2 linked regions of the Callithrix jacchus genome follow. The protein of the gene in region 2 binds, or shares a complex with, the protein of the main gene of each other region. Links are inferred from orthologs where the notes say so. Each region holds a gene or a part of one and is shown on either strand. Other genes may lie near its edges.

Region 1 (3,322 bases), on a different chromosome or scaffold from region 2:
AAGACAGGGTTTCACCATGTTGGTCAGGCTGGTCTTGAACTCCTGACCTCAGGTGATCTGCCTGCCTTGGCCTCCAAAGTGCTTGGATTACAGGTGTGAGCCACCACGCCCGGACTTCTTTTTTCTTTTCTTTTTTGACAGAGTCTTGCTCTGTTACCTAGGCTAGAGTGCAGTGGCACAATCTCAGCTCACTAAGACCTCCACTTCCTGGGTCAAAGTGACGCCTCCTGGGTCAAAGTGGTTCTTCTGCCTCAGCCTCTGGAGTAGCTGGGACTACAAACAAGTGCCTGCCATCATGCCCAGCTAATTTCTGTACATTTAGTAGAGATGGAATTTTGCCATGTTGACCAGGCTGGTCTCAAACTCCTGACCTCAGGTGATCCGCCCACCTCGGCCTCCCAAAGACTGGTATGACAGACTTGCACTACCGAACCCATTCCTTTTTTTTATTTTATTCTAAAAATAGAGTCTCAGGCCAGCGCGATGGCTCATGCCTGAGATCATGCCATTGCACTCCAGCCTGGACAACAGAATGAGACTCCATTTCAAAAAAAAAAAAGAAGACGAGGGTCTCACTATGTTACCCAGCTGGTCTCAAACCCCTGGTGTTAAGCAATCCTCCAGCCTCAGTCTCCCAGAGTACTGGGATTACGGGCAAATGCCACCATGCCCAGACCATATTTCTTTTCCATTGGGTGGTACCAGCACATACAGAGATACACAAAGACAAACGTGCCCTGTTAGTGCTCAGTAGTCATTTGAATACATTTTCACAATGGACTCAACTTATCTCAGCATAGACTTTATTGGTTTGGCTTTTCTTTTCTACTCCAGAGTGGGGCTGAGGCAGGAGCTAAGTGAAGGGCTGAATCCAGTCCTGAGCTGGGTGTGGTCAGAGTCACCGAGACCTGGGACAGTGGGAAAAGGAGAAGTGGTAGAGAGGAAGGTTGTTAGGGACTTGCAGTAGGCCAAGCACATTTCTCCTGGGACTCAGCCATTGTTGAATCCCTCCTACATTTAAATCACCTTTTAAAAATTTTTTATTTTTAAGGGCCAGGCGTGGTGGCTCACACTTGTAATCCAAGCACTTCGGAGGCCAAGGCTGGTGGATCACCTGAGGTCAGGAGTTCAAGACCAGCCTGACCATTTTTTAAGGCCAGGCGCGGTGGCTCACACCTATAATCCCAGCACTTTGGGAGGCCAAGGCGGGTGGATCACGAGGTTAAGAGATCGAGACCATCCTGGTCAACAAGGTGAAACCCGTCTCTAAGAAAAATACAAAAATTAGCTGGGCACGGTGGTGCGTGTTTGTAGTCCCAGCTACTCGGGAAGCTGAGGCAGGAGAATTGCTTGAACCCAGAAGGTGGAGGTTGCGGTGAGCCGAGATCGTGCCATTGCACTCCAGTCTGGGTAACAACAGCGACACTCCGTCTCAAATATATATATATATATATTTTTAATCATTTTACTTAGGGTTTTTTTTGTTGTTTTGTTGGGTTTTTTGTTTTGTTTTGTTTTGTTTCATTTTTAGTAGAGACGGGGTTTCACCATGTTGGCCAGGCTGGTCTTGAACTCTTGACCTCAGGTGATCTGCCCACTTCAGCCTCCCAAAGTGCTGGGATTATAGGCGTGAGCCACCGCGCCCGGCCAGTTTACTCAGTTTTGAGACAGTCTCACTGTGGTGCCCAAGCTGGAGTGCAGTGACTATTTACAGGTGAAATCATATATCACTGCAGTCTGGAACTCCTGGTCTCAAGCAAATGCTCCCATCTCTGCCCTCTCAAATCACCATTTTAATGATAAGTAATCAAAATAATTCACAAAAGTACAGAGACTGTTATCCACCTCCCTACAGAGATTTTTGCACACCCTCTTCTCCATTGATCTGCTCACACTCCTGTCCCTTCTTCCCTTCCTGAAGTTCCTGTCCCAGATTTTCTCCCTCAGTCTCTCCCCAGTTGCTCAGCATCAAAGTCTAAAGTGTTTTGGCTTCCATGCCTCCTGTCTGCACCATGGGATTCCTGTCTCACCCTTTAGGTGGACAGGTCTCTTCATAACATTTAGTCCCTCAATTCTGGGACATAAGGAATGGACTGAAGAATTTTCTAGCTGGTGAGGTAGATTCAAGAGACCACTGAAGCCAGCAGTGGCTACAGAGAAAGGCAACATGGCTCCCACCATGCAGGTTCCCACCACCAGGAAGGTGCCATGGCCCAAGAGTACAGAGAAAGAGCTGAGAACAGGATGGCCTCAGCTTGGCGGGTAGGGACAGGCAGAACACAGAATGGGCTCAGCTCGGTGGGTAGGGACAGGCAGGGGAGAAGAGCGCAGCACCTCGCCTGGAAGAGTGAGGAAGAACAAATAGTAATCAGAGCTGCTAACCTTTCTGAGCTCTTATTACTCCTCAAATGTGGCCCTCAGGTCTCTGCTTAAATTGTCTCTTTTTTGTCTTTTGGTTTTTTTCTTTGTATTTTTCCACTTGTATTCTCTAATTTAAAACTCACTACAACCCCTTGAAATGATTCTATACCTCTGATTTTAATGAAAACACAGGTTCGGAAAAGCTAGTAATCAGCCGGCACGTGGAGGGGCAAAGATCTGAATCCATGTCTGTTACCGAACTCAAGTTAGAGCCGCTGTGAGGCACCACGCTCCCTACCTGAGCCTGCAGAGGTTTGTCTGATCCACCAAGCAGGCCAACAGCTCCTGAATCAGCAAGTCCCGAAGCAAATCTTCATTGCTGGGGTTCTTGGGTGGGGACCTGCAAGGGATCAGCCTCTGGCTGACTATTTTAGCCTGGGCCTTACCCAGAGAGAGTAAACACGGGGCTGGGGACACCACGGATTGCAGGGGAGCTGACACAGCTGCCTCTCCATTGGCTCAGCTATGAAATCTGGATCCTTCTTTCTGCCAGCCCCATCCAGCACTGCCTTCCTGGGGAATATGGACCCCTCACACAGGAAGAGTCGAACAGAATTCTGGTGTGAAATATTCCACCCATCCACCTCTGCAAGCGTTGCAGGATGCAGAGAGTACTTTGGGCACATTCACTCTTTGAAATGCCCTGTGCCATTCAGAGGGGGTAACTGATTTCAGGGGAGTGAGCCAGGGAAGATCCCCCTTTCTTTCACAAACAGCCTTCCCGAGGTGGCAAGGCCAGGACCTGAGTCTCTTCTTTCCCGGCCTTCTCCTGACAGGGACTCTGCTATGCATGAAGTCATCAATCTTAGAAACCCTGTCCCTGAAACTCCTCCTAGCACCCCTCCCCTGTTCCTCCAGGGCTTCTTCCTTAAGCTCCGGCTGACCTCCAGGAGTTTGCTCA
Region 2 (4,381 bases):
TTTGCAGTGAGCCAAGATCACACCTCTGCACTCCAGCCTGGAGACAGAGCAAGACTCTATCTCTAAAAAAAAAAAAAAGATTGTATGATATAGACATTTTTTTTTAAATGGGTGGGGCATGGTGGCTCATGCCTGTAATCCCAGCCCTCTGGGAGGCCAAGGCAGGAGGATCATCTGAAGCCAGGAATTGGAGAACACCCTGGTCAACATGGTGAAACCCCATCTCTACTAAAAATACCAAAAAAATTAGCCGGGCAGGGTGCCTCATGCCTGTAATCTCAGCTACTGGAGAGGCTGAGGTGGAAGGATCCCTTGAGCCCAGGAAGTGGAGGCTCTAGTGAGCTATAATTGTGCCAGTGCCCTCCACTCTTGTAAATAAATAAATTAATTTAATTAAAAAAGGATTGTATGGGCCGGATGCAGTGGCTGTGGCCTATAATCACAGCATTTTGGGAGGCCGAGGCAGGTGGATACCTGAGGTCAGGAGGTTTCCTCATCTTGCCCAGACTAGCTTGGGCAACACAGTGAAACCCTGTCTCAACCAAAAATACAAAAATTACCTGGGTGTGGTGGCACACACCTGTGGTCCCTGCTGCTCAGGAAGCTGATGCAGGAAAATCGCTTGAGATGCAGGAAAATCGCTTGAACCTGGGAGGCAGAGGTTTCAGTGAGCTGAGATTGTGCCACTGCACTCCAGCCTGGGCGACAGAGAGAGATTCTGTCTCAAAAAATACAAAACAAAATGATATGTCTGCGAGTAACCAGACAACTGCATACTACACATATTTATTTCATGACCATTCTTCCTTGAACCCCTGCTCTGAATGATTCTGGGGACCCAGTGGTGACCCAGATGTCCTGGCTCTGCCCTCTCAGGTCTCACAGGCTAGCAGGGCAACAGTGTTTGTGACGAAACTCAGTGGCTGCGCGAATCTGCGTGTGATCGAGTGTTGTTGGAACTTGGGACACTGTGAGTGTGACTGTGTGTGGGAGTCCATGGCCCTGGGCATGTGGCTGTGTCACTATGGATGACTGTCTGCCTGTGAGTGAGGAGCTGTGGCTCTCTGGGTGTGACCATGGGACTGTAGGGCTGTGACTGAACTTGCGGCTGTGTGAGTAACAGTTTGTGAGATTCTGTGACTGTGCCTCTCCACGGCTCAGCCTATGGGATTGTGTGACACTGCATGTTTTGATTGAGTGAGTGAGGCTCTGGGAATGAGTGACTGGGTGGGGGGGACCTGTGGGTGGGACAGCATGAGAGATTGTGCACACTTGGTACAGGGGTCCTCAGGACGATAAGAACAATTCAGTAACTGCCCTCCCTCATGACCTTGATGACTGCCCCCTGCTCAGCTCTCTGCCCCAGAGCTCCCCACTTCCGTTCCCCGTCCGCCTTGGCCCCGCCCCCTCCCACCACCCCGGGCTGCCTGCGCCTGTCACCTCTCCCGGAGCCCAGATGAGACAGTGGAGGCAGCGGTGGCAGGGGCTGCGGGAGCAAGGGACCAGGAGCAGGACTGGGGACAGGTGAGGGCTCCCCAGTCCCAGCCCATTCCTCCTGCCCCCCTCCACCCCTCAAGTCTCTGGGACTCTCCTCCTCTGCTTCTCTGCCCTGCCTTTGTCTCTGTCTCTGTGCCCACCACAGTCTCTGCTCATCTCTGTCTCTTGATGTCTCTGTGTGTCTTCATCTCTGCTGAGCTGAGATACCCTTTTTCCCCCTTGCTGTCTCCCTGCACTTCTCTCCCTCCTCTTTGTCTTCTAGCCCACATCTGTGTCTCTCTGTTTCTTGGTCTCTGGTCTCTGTCCGGGGATCTCATTCTGTCCCTCAGTCTCTGTGCCTCTCGGTCTTTATATTTCTGTCGCTTGTGTCTGTGACGCCGTTGTCTGGGGTTGGATCTGAGATCCTCTCTGCTTCCCTCTTTCTCTACGTGGAGTTGCGGGGGCACGGGTGGGTGGGTGGGTGGGTGGTGGGCGGTGGGCGTTACATAGACGGCTTTCCAGGCATCTGCACACACCTAACCCCGGATCTGTCGCCTTTCCCGTCCCTGAGTATTTGGGTGCTGGGAAAGGCTTGTCCCACTTCCTTGGGCTTTATCTGCCCCCACCGGGGAAAGTTTTATAAGGTTGGCTTCCTATCTGTGCTACAAAACCCTTTGGGCTTGGAGAGGGAACCTGGAAAGGCATTTCAAGTTCTCCACCAGGCTGGGGAACTCAGGTGGTCGTTTCAAGCACCCCACTAGGAGGAACTGAAAATCTTCGAGTTTTTCAGTCCCCCATATAAAAGGGGGCTAGGCTGATGGTTTCTACTCTCTCTTCTCCAAGGCAGTCCCTGGGTTCCCAGGAGTCTGTAGGTCCAGACTCCCGGTGACACTGACGCTTCCGCCCAGCGTAGCTCTAGGGCAACCGCCCGCTCAGCAAACACCCCCCTTCCACCTTCGCTGCCCGAGCAACCGTCAAGGGCGGCCTGGGAGTCACTTAAGGGGCCCTGCCCACCACCGAGTCCCACCCACTCCGCATGCCTCTCCCTCCCCCCAGATCATCACACCTGGGAGTTGTTGGGGGGGGTTAGGGGGTGTGAGGGAATGATGGGGGGACGAGCTGCCTGGGAGTCTGCATATGTAAATCCCTGAGGCTGGGTGACGCTGGGGATGGAGTCAGAGGGCGGAAGGCTGAGGCGCTCACCCTGCCCTGGGACCCTCCAGGCCTGATCGACCCTGCGCCAACCAGACCCTTCATCACCCTCCCGATGACTACCTCTCCTACCCTGCAGCTGCTGCTGCGGCTCTTGCTGTGGGGGCTGCTGCTACGGAGGGCGGAGGTGAGGACCCGAGGAGCCAGAGGAGCTCCAGGCTTGGAGGGAAGTCTGGGGATGGTTGGTTTTAGGGCTTCCCTAATTAGGGCTCATACCTGTAATCCCAGCACCTTGGGAGGCCGAGGCAGGTGGATCACTTGAGGTCAGGAGTTTAAGACCAGCCTGGTCAACATGGTGAAACCCCATCTCTACTAAAAATTTAAAAATTAGCCAGGTGTAGTGGCACGCACCTGTAGTCCCAGCTACTGGGGAAGCGGAGGCAGGAGAATCGTTTGAGCCCAGGAGGCAGAGGTTGCAGTGAGCCAAGATCACACCACTGCACTCCAGACTGGGTGACAAGAGTGTGACTATCTCAGAGAAATAAAAAAATAAAGCACAAGGAGAGTTTCAAGACTGCCCCACTTGCCCAGATTCAAGTTGTGGGGTTTTGTTTTCTTTTTTGTTTTTGAGACAGAGTCTCACTCTGTCACCCAGGCTAGGGTGCAGTGGTGCCATCTCAGCTCACTACAGCCTCCATCTCCTGGGTTCAAGTGATTATCCGGCCTCAGCCTCCTGAGTAGTTGGGACTACAGGAGCCTGCCACCACCACCACGCCCAGCTAATTTTTGCATTTTTAGTAGAGACGGGGGTCTCACCATGTTGGCCAGGCTGGTCTCGAACTCCTGGCCTCAAGTGATCCACCCACCTCGGCCTCCCAAAGTACTGGGATTACAGGCATGAGCCACCACGTCGGGGCCCAGATTCAAGTTTTGATGATTGTTTCCACTTCCTTTTCTTCCCCCAACAAATCCTCCTGATAATTTCAGCCACCCCTTCCCCAGTTTTCTTGAAGGTTTTCAGTCTCCCATAGCCACTCCATTCGGTGGCTTCCAGGCCCCAAGACTTGAAACTTGGTTCCAAACCACCCAAGACTCCCGAGCAAAACTGGACAGCCCCTCGAAGTCTCTCTGGGGTGCTTCTGGCTCACATGGCCAAGCAGCCCGGGGGCGGGGGTCGGTCTGGGGGGTCCTCCCTTCTTTCTTTTCCTAGACAGGCTCCGAGAGGCAGACGGCGGGGGAGCTATACCAGCGCTGGAAACGGTACCGCAAGGAGTGCCAGGAGACCCTGGCAGCCGCGGAACCGCCCTCAGGTGTGACCAAGAGGGCTGGGGACGCAGGGAGGACCCAAAGCTGAAAGGGGTAGGCTTAGAGGGGGGCTTCGGGCTGACAGGTGAAGAAGAAATCTCGGGTGCTGTGGGCTGGAGAGGCCCGGGGGCTGACCTGGGCGCTGTGGGAACTGGAGCGGGACCACGGTTCCGAGGGGCAGCCTCGGAAGAAGCTTGAAATGGAAGGAGCCTTGGGTGGGACCTGTACTAAAATGGACCTTGAAGGGGATGTGGTTTGGGATGGAGACTGGGTAGGGCCCCTCCGCGTGGGAAGATCTGGGGCGGTGACTTGTTTGGTGGGAGGAGCCTCGAGTGGGGCTGGGAGGGGGCGTGGCTTTGAGGCTAGTGGGAGGGGCTTGTGGCCAACCCGGGACAACATGCACTCCGAGTGGGCGGGGCTAGACCCGGGCTTGGACTGTGGCGGGCCG

Evidence for each region.
Region 1: the proteins of GIPR (region 2) and GIP are in contact, whole or in part, in a cryo-EM structure (PDB 7RA3), measured with the Homo sapiens proteins. The link is inferred for Callithrix jacchus from reciprocal best matches to the Homo sapiens genes GIPR and GIP. Residues at the interface, in NP_000155.1 of Homo sapiens: Gln30, Thr31, Ala32, Leu35, Tyr36, Trp39, Tyr68, Trp71, Leu88, Trp90, Arg101, Arg113, His115, Asn120, Gln130, Arg131, Leu134, Glu135, Leu137, Gln138, Tyr141, Tyr145, Arg183, Ile187, Arg190, Asp191, Pro197, Gly198, Pro199, Tyr200; in NP_004114.1 of Homo sapiens: Tyr52, Ala53, Glu54, Gly55, Thr56, Phe57, Ile58, Ser59, Asp60, Tyr61, Ser62, Ile63, Ala64, Met65, Asp66, Lys67, Ile68, His69, Gln70, Gln71, Phe73, Val74, Trp76, Leu77, Leu78, Lys81.

Annotation. Positions count from the first base shown.
Region 1 is NC_133506.1:117,334,311-117,337,632, reverse strand, and holds the end of GIP (gastric inhibitory polypeptide), read right to left. Parts: intron 2,762-3,322; coding exon 2,660-2,761; intron 909-2,659; coding exon 899-908; 3' UTR 787-898; downstream 1-786. UniProt on the Homo sapiens protein: Potent stimulator of insulin secretion and relatively poor inhibitor of gastric acid secretion.
Region 2 is NC_133523.1:39,824,847-39,829,227, forward strand, and holds the start of GIPR (gastric inhibitory polypeptide receptor), read left to right. Parts: upstream 1-1,454; 5' UTR 1,455-1,524; intron 1,525-2,699; 5' UTR 2,700-2,743; coding exon 2,744-2,815; intron 2,816-3,838; coding exon 3,839-3,938; intron 3,939-4,381. UniProt on the Homo sapiens protein: This is a receptor for GIP. The activity of this receptor is mediated by G proteins which activate adenylyl cyclase.